Caenorhabditis elegans: one gene and its partner. The protein of the gene in region 1 purifies or fractionates together with the protein of each later gene. This does not show direct contact. Each region holds a gene or a part of one and is shown on either strand. Other genes may lie near its edges.

What was found. The genes of interacting proteins can lie anywhere in the genome.
Region 2: the proteins of otpl-8 (region 1) and dnj-1 fractionate together in Caenorhabditis elegans (co-fractionation; one large-scale study listed by BioGRID). This does not show direct contact.

Annotation. Positions count from the first base shown.
Region 1 is NC_003284.9:12,266,445-12,272,690, forward strand, and holds otpl-8 (Otopetrin-2), read right to left. Parts: upstream 4,498-6,246; 5' UTR 4,496-4,497; coding exon 4,432-4,495; intron 3,988-4,431; coding exon 3,870-3,987; intron 3,815-3,869; coding exon 3,703-3,814; intron 3,651-3,702; coding exon 3,519-3,650; intron 3,469-3,518; coding exon 3,396-3,468; intron 3,352-3,395; coding exon 3,203-3,351; intron 3,161-3,202; coding exon 3,062-3,160; intron 2,332-3,061; coding exon 2,212-2,331; intron 2,165-2,211; coding exon 2,058-2,164; intron 1,998-2,057; coding exon 1,884-1,997; intron 1,654-1,883; coding exon 1,474-1,653; intron 1,426-1,473; coding exon 1,198-1,425; intron 1,079-1,197; coding exon 881-1,078; intron 820-880; coding exon 654-819; 3' UTR 509-653; downstream 1-508.
Region 2 is NC_003282.8:11,297,255-11,305,045, reverse strand, and holds dnj-1 (DnaJ homolog subfamily B member 1), read right to left. Parts: upstream 6,011-7,791; 5' UTR 6,004-6,010; coding exon 5,938-6,003; intron 5,888-5,937; coding exon 5,815-5,887; intron 5,091-5,814; coding exon 4,692-5,090; intron 4,157-4,691; coding exon 3,998-4,156; intron 3,845-3,997; coding exon 3,613-3,844; intron 1,210-3,612; coding exon 1,046-1,209; intron 826-1,045; coding exon 713-825; 3' UTR 257-712; downstream 1-256. Other genes in the region: B0035.13 (Fungal lipase-type domain-containing protein), read left to right, coding at 48-215; B0035.15 (uncharacterized protein), read left to right, coding at 6,798-6,899, 6,956-7,107, 7,157-7,333, 7,378-7,492, 7,535-7,618, 7,678-7,740.

The DNA of each region.
Region 1 (6,246 bases):
AATTTTTAAAAATTATAATGTGTATTATTGATAGATGTTTATTTATTTTTATTTATATGTGCATTAATATTATTTTCTCTATTTATTTTTTTTTGCGAATGAAAGTTTCATGTTTTAGATTGAGAGGTTTTGAGGATCACGTTACACAAAAATTCAGTGTGAAAGGACATGACTTGTTTAAAATTTTTAGGTTTTGGTATTCTGACTCCACATTTATCAGAATAGTCTAGTTAGAACTTTTATAACCGAGAACACAACTTTAAGTTATTATAAATTACAATTAATCTTAGAAATTACTTATGCAAAGATTTTTCAAAGATTTTTTGTGATAATGATTTCACTAGTCTCTGTTCTGAGATAACAATAACCCTACCTAGATGCATAGATGCCTAGACCATCTATATGACTTATTGATAATTTATTGATGTTCTTCATTAGTTGAATCATAAAGACTATACATTATTTCAAATTGAGAAAAAATTTATTGTCCCGAACGAACATAAAAAACTAGTGGTACAAAAAAAATCCCGCTTGGTGAGTGAAAAATATCAAAATTAAATGAACAAGTAACTGTGGAAGATCTGAGTGATATGAGAATTGGGTCTAATTTAGCATTGCATACGAAATGAATATAATATACAAGTAGTAGAAATTCAATGTTTCAATAATTGTGGAGATGGAATCTCCTTGATATCAGAAATTGGGGTGATTGCGGTTAAGTTACTATCAGAAAGGGACATGTGTTCATGATCGTATTCGTTGCTTTTTGTGCTGTATGTGTGCTTCCATATCTCGGCAAGACATGCTGAACTATGGAATCTGTAACAAAATAATTAATCAACAACTAGAAAATTTTAAATAAAAGCTAATTAAGATTTACCTATAGAAAACCAGCAATGGTCCCACTGCGTAAATAATGTAATTATATTGAGTAGCTGCTTTGCTAGAAAACCCGAAACTTGATTTCATGCCTTCAAAAGTGTGGAAGACGAATAATGTAACATTGGAGACGAGTAAAAATGTTATGATTTCCTTTCCAGGTTTATATTTCATCGAGTATTTGGAAAGACAGCGAAGTCTGAAATTTTGATGAATATTTTGATAAAAAATTAAAAACTCGGAAGTCTCATCATATGCAGTGATGGAAACATTGTATTTACACGAAAATATGTTTTGCACGCTTTTCCATGTCCCTACCTTGAAGTAGTGAGTATGAAAGCGGCTTGAACCACAACTTGAATCATTCGAATCACAAAAACAAACGCCGGCAATGCGCTAACAGTGAGATCAGCAGATCTGCGACAAGTTATGAATACATCGATTCCAACTGCACAGTACAAAATTTCTCCAATCAAACCAATTATCAGCAAAATCTCATCAATTACTTCCCCGTGAGCATGTAGACGGTACTGAAGATGTCGCATTCTAAAATATAATGGATTAGTACTAATAGTTTTAGTGTACTCTGTAAACCTCCATAGACCAATGATACATGCGCCAAGGGCAATTGAAAAGAGTGACAAATCCACAATACCAAATACTAATTGAGCCCCAGAGCTGTTTCGCAATGATTCGAATATTGTGTACATTCCCATGGAGACCAAAGAGCCAATAAGGAATATGATTCCAGCAAATAAGCCTGTAGATGAAGAGCTGGAAAAAAATAGGATAATGCCCAATGAGATCAAAAAAATCTAATACAAGTTTCGACGGCTCCAAGTCTACACTAGCTTATAATAATATACTTTTCAATAAGGAAAAATATGATGCTCAGTTCATTTTTGTGACATAATGTATATTTCATTGCTAATAAAAATGTATTGAGCGTTAGCGTTTTTAATTTATTTATATTTTCTTATTTTTTTTATTCTCTGAAATTTTACCTGCAATCAATCCTCATTTTCACTTTTCGCTTCCCACTGTTACTCTGTTGATGATTGTTTTGACCTATTGACTTCCACAAAATAAACATGATTGCAGCACCAATTAACGAGTACCTTGAAAAAAAAAACCCATCATCATCACTTTTTTGTTTAGTTCTCTTAGAGTTAACTCACTCCACAATGCAAGTGGTCAAAAATGTGGCAACATCTCCGAAGTGCTCGAGAGCAAACAATCTGCTGGCCACTGGCTCCATCGTCTTTGTCGCCGGAGTGTTGTTGAGCTGAGAGAAGAAAAAGTGAATGACCTATGATACTGCAGAGTACTTACCGTTGAGTTAAGAACTGCGCTTATCAACTCGTGAATCTCTTCGGAAGATGATGACGAGGATGAGGAATAGTACTTTCGAAATGTCTGTTTAAGTTGCGCTTTTTTGTGGGCTTTAGCTTCCTGAAACATAACACCATTTGTTTTGATTTAAAAAATAGAGCTGCATCTAGAAAAATATTTTTGTGTACTCGCAAGCCTTCTTTAATTTTTCAGTAAAGAAAAAACTTTGAATATGAATAAAACTATTTTTTGTTTTTAAGCATAATATATATATATATATATACAAATTGTCTAAGCAATCAAAGGTGGAGTTGCGCTAGTGGTTTTCATGTTTAAAACCACTCAAAATAATGCCAAATGACTGAATTTTTCAAAAAAAAAAATTGAAAATTTTTGTCACAAATAATTTTGAACTTCATCAAAAAAAAGGGGTTTCTATTATTTTCAAACTTTAATTTCGTTTTAATCAACTACGTCTACATTGTAATGATTGGAATATGCGACAATGCTCTGGATTTCCTCAAAAACTAGTATTATCAAAAAAGTTGCCAATTCGCCAATAGTTTAACTGGAAATATCAAAAATCTAAAAGTTTTAATAGTGTTTTATGATGATATATTCAATCGCCTTGGATCTTAATAAGTGTATTAACAGAGACAAAATTGTAAGACAAAATCCCCACAGACGCTATCCACCTTTAAACAAAGAACAATAAATAAATTTACAAGCATTGCGACTAAAATATTTACGGCAAAAACCAATCTTTTTACAATTTTTTTTTTGAAATTATGAATTTTAATTATAATGATACTCTAATTTGCAGTAAAAAGTTATTTTTAAAAAATCAAACTTGTTTAGCCAGCACAAATCGAAACCATGTCCATAAATTCACCGATATCAGGTGCATCATACCAAACGCAACAATTTTACGAGAACTGTTTACAGTTATCTGAAATTCCTTTTTTTCTACAGCACATAAAGAATAGATCACCTTGGAATTGCAAAAAATGAAATGCATTTGAATAAAGGTGAATACTATTGCCACAATCATTTTCGCAATCGCAACTTTTTTGCATGCAACATTTTCAATACACAGAAACAGCTCCAATCCGAATAGAACAATTCCAACGCTTCCGAAAACTGAAATGTTTTATTTTAATCTATTTCTTGTATGTCCCACTTACAAAGAGCACCCAGTCGTAAGTACAATGTGCCAGCTCCTTCTCCATTGTGTTGGCTTTGCATTATGAACCAGACCTGCAGATTTTTCAGTTTCTCAATGAACTTTTATTAAAATTATCCGTTACCTCTGAGTTTTTGATAATTTTATATTTTCTGAGCACTGATATTAATTGATTATACGGCCCGGGATAAATTATAAATATATAGCAGTACGCGAAAAACAGAATGCCAACTCCATACATTGATATGTAGAAGATCTAAAATGATCGCATTGAAAATTTCATTTCATTTCATTGTTTCACTCCTAACCGTTTCAGCAAGCCACATATCGGTTCTCCATGTCGGTGAGACTTCAACCACCAATGATATTATAGTTAAGATTAGTGCATATAAACTGGTTATGAGGCGCACAAAGAAGTTACTGAAATCATATTAAATAGTAAACAATTGAACAAGAATGAGTTAACTAGACTTACGTGGCTCTTGGCTCATGAATCCAAGGTCGTCGGTAGAGTTCATGATGATGTGTGGGTGATGATGGTAGACTATCGCTGTCGCTTCCACCCTTCTCCATATCATCTGCTATCACAATAGCTGAAGGCATAATACTGATATGTTTGAACATAGGTCCAGGAGAAACTCTGTACAGCCCATCTCACAACAAGTAGTACTTTGTATTTGACAGGATAATAAGGGCAAAAATAAGTCCTTGGTATTTGCTTTGTATGTTCAAAGAAGACATAGTGATTCACATAAAATAATCTGTATTCAGAGACTGGCTTAAATAATTTAGTTTTTGCACATTATCGACTTAATTAATATTGACTATATGAACCATAATGCGTGGTTTTTAAATCTATATTTAAAAGGTGCATTCAAATCTTCTAAACCGCTAGTCGAAACACTGTTGCTACTACAATTTTCTATTTAACATTAAGTGATTCAGACCTGAAAAGAATTAACGAAAAAGTTTTGAACTTTTTTCTTACAAAAACCCATAATAATATCAAAAAATCCAAAAATACAAAATCAACTTACGATTGTGACTTGGGCTGTACATTGGCGTCGCCCCTATTTTTAGTTGCTCATCGACCATCAACATATCTGAAACACAAAATTATGAGAACACAGTCTTACAAAACTTTTTAGACAGTAAGGATCAGTTTTCATAAGTAGACAAGGTTCAAGTAGGTATTTTGCGGTGCTCGACCTCTAGTGTCAACGTCTCAGAAATCCGGTTATTAAGCTAGCACCGAATATTTCAGAAATCTTATGTTGTTAACGTTGAGCATTTACTAGATATTTCAAAAAACGGGAGACGCCGCTAGAAAATAACTATTTAATTTTTCTTAATTTTGTGGCAAAACGAAATGTTTCCAGTTGCTCGATAATTTAAGGAAATACTCGGAAGAAATGAAAATTTATCAATTTGCTGGGAGGCACAGAGAAAGTTGAGCAAAATTAATTCCGCCAGGTTTTTTTTTGTGAAACGGAACAACTAGTTACCGTCTGTAACTGTAACTATTTTTAACTGGTCGACCGGTTTGATTAGTCACAATGATCAGCCAAAAAGTTATCAGTTTATCTTACTGCAAAATAAAAACGACACGGAACCTAAAACGTTCACAAGTTTTCGAGTGGACAGAGAGCAAGAAGTGGAGAGCAGAGAAAATGGATCATTATATAATATGCTTGGTAAATAATAGGAAAAAAGTGAAATAATAAGCAGTTGAAAAGTTCATGTAAACCTATGACTTGTAGTTGTTGCTCTTTTGCCTAATTGAATATTGAATACTGACCGGAAGTGTGACTAGTGTACTACCGTAATCATTGTTTGAGAAACGCTTTTGTGAAGGTTCTTTACCCAAAAAACGTGAAAACTGTTGTTTCTCCGACAACTCTCAACTCCGAAAAGTGTTTTCAAATTGAGCAAAGTACTACATACCAGTGCCTAACCAATTATTACTAGCTAGACAGAACGCTTTGACTCAGTAATGGAAAAATGATGAAAACCTATCAGTTATAAAAGAAAAATGAGGTCGAGTAAAGTTACTAAGGTAGGCTAGTAAGTTGGTAGGTAGATTCGGGAGGAGAAGGGGGAGGTGAGAATTAATCAAAACTGGAATATTTATTTGTACTGTGTACACAGAGCTTGAAACGAGGGGAGGCAATAAGATGCCTGGCAATGTTTGTTCGACATCACAGATGGCAACCATTTTTGGAACACGCAATTCTTGACGTTTCAAGTTAGCATGGATTGTTAGAAATTATAGTGGTATGGTCTGCAAATAAACACGCGTACACACATTGAGGTACATGATATTGAGCAAAGAGCAATGGAACATGGATGGAAATAGAACACACATTGATACGGGTCAGAGTTTACAAACTTCTCGGAAAGAGAGTTCGGTAATGACATTGAGTCTATTTTGAAATTTTAAGAAAGAATTGTGATGCTTGATGTTTGATTTGAAAAACTAAATTTTGGTCGAAATTTATTGTGAAACAGCAAACTTCTGTATTGGTAAATTCTAACCTTGCTGTTTGATAATTTATTTGAGAAATTTTAATTTTATAGTCTTATCACAAGAACCCAAGAAACGATATTCTGAAGTTTGCCAAATTTCTTTATTTTCAGAATAAGTGAATTTTTTTGAATATCCACACCGAAACCATTTTGCTCTTATTAATATCATTAGTATTATTTTGTGTATTATTATTGATTTCTTGATGTTTTTTTTTAGATCATAAATGCTTTGATTATCGTATAATTGATGATTTTTTGAATTTTAAATTGTACTATAATTCTTTTACGTAGAATAAACTAAAAATTTTAAGAAAACTTGTTCTGCT
Region 2 (7,791 bases), on another chromosome or scaffold:
TTGAAAGAAATAATATTAGTCTGAAAGGATTAGAAATTTGAATTTAGGTTTTCTACAAAGAATCAATGAATGCTGGAGCTTCTTTCAAAGTTTGCTCATCTTCCGATGAATCGAATGATTGTTCCAATGGACTTTTGATTACTGCATCTGTTTCTGATCATCTCACTTATTTCACCAAAGACGTTTCCCAGTGGGGAGAAGCCGGATGTAACTGACATCACAATTTTCTTTTTGAATAAATGATTTACCAATGAATATCTTCGCCAAGGCACTTGGAAATCTTTGGCAATTTTATTATTCAAAGAAAATAAATCACTAATCATGGTTTTACGACAAGAATACAAAAAACGAGTAGAAGAATATATTGGGGAGCAATAAAAATAAAAGAAAACGTGGAAATCTTCTGACTGGAGCACACAAATCACAGAACTCTTTAGCTGAGCCATTTTCGAGGAACGTTAAGAAAACAACATGAAGTAATAATTAAAAAAAAGAAAGAGGCACGAGCAAAAAGTAAACGATATTGTCCCGTATACAAGTGTTTTTTGTGGAGGAGAATTGAACCATTATCTCTTTTCCGAAAAATTTAAGAAAGGGGTAGGAGGCCTAATAAAAGTCTTGAATGGAGGAGATGAGGAAAAGAGGAGGAAGTGATACACCGGCATTTCCAGACAATTTGAATATTATATGAAAACAGATCAACTGGGTGAAATCAATGAGAATAAATTTCATTGAGACGAATACAACTTGGAAGAGGTGTTCGTTCTGCATCACGCATCATTGCTTCGTCACGCATCCAACGAGCTCGATAAAGTTTTGTTTCTTCTGGAAAAGTTTTATGCTTATTTTTTGATATATAAAAGTATTTTAAATGAATTTTTAGAGCGGTGAACATTTTATTTAAGGAAAAATATACATCACGTTAAATTGAAATGGACGAAATTTAATTTAATTTCAAATTTCGTTCCACAAGCACACCTTTGAAAATAATTTGTTTTAAATAAGTATTTTTTTCAAATAAAATTGAAATAATTGAACAACTCACTTAGATTTTGTTCTTTATAACAATTCATCCGTAAATTCTGAATATAATCATCTTCCACTTGTTGCTCAACTTGTCGGATTCGTCCTCGATACGAGGTCTCAAAGTCCGTTCGTACAAAATATGGAACTCGTAAATCTGCTGTCAGTCGTTTTATTGTGAATTTTCTGAAAATTGATATTTTAGAAAAGTATTCAAAGAAGTACAGTGCGTGCAACTTCTATAGCGCCCCCTATTTTTTTCGTGTTTCGTCACTTTCCCAAACTTTTTTGAGAAAACCATTATAGCCATTCGATTTCAAATGTCAAAAAACCCCCTGTCCGAAGTTTTCATGAAAAAATATCAAAGACTACGGTAATTAGGTCAAAAAGTCTGAAAAACGACCGTGCAACTTCTATAGCGCTCCCTCAAATTTTCGCTATTTTTCAATAAAATACCTAGTTTTATGAGATTTCTGAAAAGGATATAGTATTATATATTAAGAAAAATGATCATAAGGTCTCATTTTTCAATTTTCAACAGAAATATATTACGTGAAAACTTCTGGGATCCCAAGAGTGGCCTGAAACGCTTCACTTTGTGGCCAGTTCTCGGCACCCACTGCATGTATTGATACGAAACTTGAACTAATCATTTAATTTTGTTCACTAAAGATATTTTGAAAGGTTGATATTAAATTCGGTGGAGATAGGTAAGGTAGATAGCGCTGCTCATTGTGAGGAAATAAGTTTTTCTCTCTAGAACAGATTTTTGCGACGTGCCAGAGATTGGACGCGGTTCATTTCTGGTAGAAAAGCTTCATATTCATTGTTGAAATTTTTATAAGTGTTATTCGAACAACAAACTTTTGAAAAATGATTGGTCCAATACAGGAGATCTCCTTTAAAAAATTTGCACATACATCAAAACTGGGCGAGTTCACTGCCCGCAGGTTTTTGGGTGAATTTTTAGTTTTTAACAAACACTTTGAAATATTAAGTTCGGATGCAAGTTCTGTGACCCCTCTGAACACTTCGACAGTTCTTTTGTCGTTCGATCCCGAATGAAACGCGCGGAACCACGGGAAAGAGACCCGCCCAGTGTTTCTGCACCTGTTAATTTGTTTGAGGGATATTTCTCGAATTTTACCGATCATTTTCCAACATTTTTCGATCCGGACAAAATTTGTTTTAAATAGTTAATTGAATGGATATCTTGTCAACCAGAAAAGACGCACATCCATTCTCTGACATGCCTCTCGATAGAACAACTGATTGGTTACTAGCCTTACTATTAACTTGGGCTGTCAACCTGGCCCATATTGACCAAATTTTATGACAACTTATTGAAACATTATCAGTAAATCAAAATGAAAATTTCGGTCAAGTTTCGTATCAATACATGCAGTCAATACATGCAGCGCTATCTACCTTACCTATCTCCACCGAATTTAATATCAACCTTTCAAAATATCTTTAGTGAACAAAATTAAATGATTAGTTCAAGTTTCGTATCAATACATGCAGTGGGTGCCGAGAACTGGCCACAAAGTGAAGCGTTTCAGGCCACTCTTGGGATCCCAGAAGTTTTCACGTAATATATTTCTGTTGAAAATTGAAAAATGAGACCTTATGATCATTTTTCTTAATATATAATACTATATCCTTTTCAGAAATCTCATAAAACTAGGTATTTTATTGAAAAATAGCGAAAATTTGAGGGAGCGCTATAGAAGTTGCACGGTCGTTTTTCAGACTTTTTGACCTAATTACCGTAGTCTTTGATATTTTTTCATGAAAACTTCGGACAGGGGGTTTTTTGACATTTGAAATCGAATGGCTATAATGGTTTTCTCAAAAAAGTTTGGGAAAGTGACGAAACACGAAAAAAATAGGGGGCGCTATAGAAGTTGCACGCACTGTAGTACTGTTAATGTGGAAATTGTAATTTTGGTAACGGAACTTGGAATTTTTTTAAAATTGGAAAATTTCGCGATGAATATATACTTAAATATAAAACACAACTAAAAATTCCAGTTTTTCCAAAGGTTTCTTTTTGTGAAAAATTTATTTGAAATTATCATACTGACCAAAAGGCTATTGAAAAATACTTGTTTCAAGATTAATTTTTCAATGCTGATTAAAGTGTACTTTTTCTTTTTTTACATATTACCCAAACGCGAAAGTTTGCGCCAAAACTCCCGGTCTCGACACGACAATTATTTGTTAAATGCAAAAACAAAAAAGTACTGTAATTTTAAACTTTCGTTGCTGTAATATTTTCATCGATTTTTCATAGTTTTTCTCACGATCTCTTAAATTTATACGTTTTTTTTTTCATTTCATAAGTGCATATAAATTTTTTTAATTTGAAAAATCGATAAAAATTCCGCAGGGACCAAAGTTTTGAATTACAATACTCGTTAAAAGCGCTTTTCGTGTCGAGACCGGGTACAGTAATTTTGGAATCGCAAAAATTCGCATCTGCGCAATACATGATTGCACCTGATTTGAATGCCTTAATGTACGTAACAAAATTGACAGGCATTTTACTATTCACTTTTTCCAGTTTCAAAAAAAGTAAAAACTAACGAAGTTTGATGAAGTGAATACGCAGGTTCTCCAACCATCAACTGGGCTAACAATCCAATGACCATAATGGCGATAAGTGGCAATAATTGAAGAAGTGGTCCATATGGACTTTGCTGTTGTTCATAATGATGATACTGTTGCTGTTGAGCATATCGAGCACGTCGGCGAACTTGTTCGGTAGGGAATCCGCCTCCGAAGAACATGTTGAAAATCTCTTCTGGTGTGAATTCGGCTGCAATAAAAAAAAAGATTAATTGTTATTTTATCACAATCTAATAAATTTAGTTGATTTTTAAATTGTTGAGCAATTGACATAGGAGAATATCTCAAATTAATTCAGACTGCTGATGAAGCAGTTTGTCTAAAAATGTTTAAAGTAGCTAACCCTCGAATCCATGTGCATAATCATGTTCAAAGAATGCACCATGTCCTCCACCACGTCTTCTTGTTGTCGGAGTGTGTGAATTCGCTGCTTCAGCTCCATATTGATCGTATTGTCGGCGTTTATCAGTATCAGAAAGCACTGCGTACGCATTTCCAAGAGCTGAAAAACAATTAAACAATTTTTAACGAGATTTCTTTTTAAAAAAACGATTTAAATTCGTTTAAGTTTTTTTTCGATGGAAAAGTATCAAAAAATATTTATAGAAAAATTTTATTGAAAGATGGCATAAGATAGATAAATTATAGTTCAGGGTGATTTTTTGCCCGAAATCGCGGAAAATGGTCCCAGAATACCAAATTTGATTTTTTAAAAATTTAAAACATTTTTCAATTTTATTAACTTTGCAGAAAATTTTGCATTTTCGGCTGTATTATTTTATATCTCTTTGTTTCATGATTTGTAACATAAGGAAACGTAAAAATTCGCAGAAACTCAAAAATTGGCCATAAAATCAATATTTTAACATTAATTAAAATTATCACTAGCGTTGTTTTAATGTGAACCACAAGAAAGAAGATCAGCAATTAATTAAACCGGAAAACCAAAAATGTCAAAACTAGGCCATTAATTTGAGCGGGAATTCAAAAATAATTCGGTCTTTTATAATTTTCAAATTAAAACTGTAAAAAATTACCCTTGAACGCCTCCGTAGCGTGTGGAGCTCTACACTTGTCCGGATGTAACTTCAACGCCAATTTTCGATATTCTTTACGAATATCATCATCGCTCGCCTTCTTGTCAATTTTAAGAATTTCGTAATAATCCTTGCAATGACGAATTCTCTCGACCAATTCTTTTTGTTCACTGGTATAATCAACGCCAAGTTTAGGTGTTCTTGATGCAGATCGTTGTTTTGGTTCTGGTTCTGTTTTTCCATTCTTTTTTACAGGACTTCTAGCTTTTCGATTCCTTAAGTTTGGGTCATCATAGTGATCGTCGTGAGCATAACTACGTTCTTCTGAAGCACGTGATGAAGATGTTTGGGAAGATGATGATGTGTTGTTTGTCATATCATCTATCTTTTTCGTTAGAACTGAAAATAGTGTTTTTTTTTAAAATTATTTTAATTAAATTTTCAGCGACTTTTTTCAAGATTTTTCAAAGTTTATCTATAACCTTTACAACTGTTGAGTAAGAACAAAACTCTCAAATTACATGTCTCACGTCTCAACGTTTCTTGCACAAAGGTTCCTGCTTTTTCTTATTTTTGATAGGCGTAGAGAGTGAAAGAAATCGTTTCTCTCACCAAGTGGGTTGTAATAAACGGGTCCTTCAATGATGTATCTTGTATCTCTTCGTAATGGTCATTTTGGTTTCACTTCGGTTTTTTTTGCCGAAGAAACGAAAAACAGACGTTTGTGTGAACGGAAATTGGAAATTGATTTCAATTTTTTTGCATGGAAAATTAAATAAACACAGATTTTTTCAGAATACGGGCATGTGCATCAACTTTCAAATCTTTCAAGTTACAGAGTTTGTGCAGAAATTTAAAGATGGAGCAGCGGAAAAGGGGAAAATACTCAAAACAGTCTGAAATTCGGAAATACCACAAAAAAGAAACGAAAAAAAGTGTGAAAGGATAAATCCATATTGGTTTTAGCGAAAATTGAAAAATCTAATTTTTAATAGTTAGATTTTTCATACTTTCGCGATTTTTTCGTTCTTGTTATTTTATATTTCTGATGTTCAGTCTATTTTTAGCATTTTAAAGCAAAATCTCACATTCACGCTGCTCTACATCTGAAAAGAAATCTTACATTCAATATTTTGACCAGGATCCAACTTTTTCGCCTTCAACAGCATTCTCCTTGCTTTATCGGTGTCACCAGACTAAAATACATAATTTATTAACTGAAATGCTGAACAATCACAAAACTCACTTTAATAGCCTCTCGAGCTTTATCCATACACAACAGTGATTCGCTTTTATTGGCGTCTGCTGTCATTTTTGGGCTGAACCAATAAAAATAGATTATTGACTGTTTCAGTTAACGAGAACAACAGAAAAGAGATCTCATGATAACGATAACGTTTAAAAATAAGAAGAAAACCAAGAACTTCGAACTAGATAGAATTAAAATTTAAAAACATTGGTTTAAATTGAATTTAAAATAGAAAGCTTTTGGAACCAATAATGAGCCATCGAAATGTCTGTTCCTAGTCTTGCAGAAAAAAGATATTTGTCCGAGAAGCGAGAGAGCATAAAAAGTGAAGTGTCGCAGAGAAACGAGCAGGCGAGTAGCCAACGTAGCCCAAGAAGCAGTGAGTGACTAACTTTCAATTATTGATCGGTGGCAGCTATTGCGGTGGAGCGTCATTGCTTATTTTTGTTTCTATTTATAAAATATATTTATTTCAAATTTAATAAATTTCGGGTGTTAAACACTTTGGGTTCATAAATTTCAGTCAGTGAAACGGATTAAAACTAATAATCATTTTTTCGCAAAGAACTTTGAGTAAAGAATTTGAAGCATTATATTAAAAACACATATTTCCTCCATGATGCAAAATTTTGGTTAAATTAAATAAGAAATTTCTGGATTAGAAATAAGAAAACGTGTCGCTAATTCTGCGAAAAAAATCGATAAAAGTTGCATGACGAAACTCGTTGCGAAACCCAAAAATAAATTCGGGTGCTGTACCTTTAAAGAAGTACCGTACCCCGAATTTTTGCGATCCTTTTTATTAATTTCCCTATTCACTTCTGGACGAAACTCTCTGCTGTCATTACAATTTTCAGATGAAACGACTTTGGAAAAAGGTTGGGTCTGGTGTGAAGAATGCGAATTATCTCAAAAAGTCTGTAGAAGAAGTAGCGAAAATTGAAAAAGGGGAAACAAAAGTAAGAGTACAAAAATAATTTTTAAAATATTAACTTAATAACTTCTAAATTTTCAGGTCGTCCCACCAAAATATCCAACTGAAAAATCACGAGAAGTTAGCGAAGAAATCAAAAAAGAATTAGCGATGAAAAATGAAAGTTTGGTGGAAAATATGAATAAAATGTACATCAAATCAACTGATCCAGTTGAAAGATGGACATCTACGAAGTGAGTTTAGTTTCAAATTGCATTTGATTTTTATAAAAATAAAATTCAGAGATCTTCCCACTCGTGAATCGGAATTTCTCCATCGGAATGATCCCATCTGGGAATATGGGTTCTACGAGCCGCCCGTTGAAAGAATTCCGAAAGATAAATTGATGTTCAAAGAAGCGCTAGAATATCTTCGATTCCGCCAAGAGCTACTTTCCGATTCAAGTTCACCAGCACAAAAGTAGAATTCATGTTTTTAATGATTAGTCTAAAACATTCATTCAGAAAGCAAGCCGCTGAATTTGTTGCTGATCATGTTGTTACTTCTCGTGTAAATGCAGAAACATTAGATGACATTTATGAATATTTTCGACCATTTGAGAGAAAGGATAAACAAAAAGTTGTTCGAATTAAATTTTTGAAAAATATTTTATTAGTTCAGGTTGTCAATCGTCATGCCCTTGCAGCTCTTCAAGATCATGTACAAGGAAATTCAGATGAAAGACGAATTTTAGACGAGGCAAAGGTAAGAACAATCGAATTGATCTTGAAAACTGAAAGAAATTAAAAGCTTCTAATTTTCAGGATGTCGGAAAAAAGATTCGCCATATCAGTAACAATACGAAATTCCTGGACGAATATCAACGAGTTAGTTCGCTTTTCCCAATAACCTCTTCATCTTAAAAATTATTACAATTT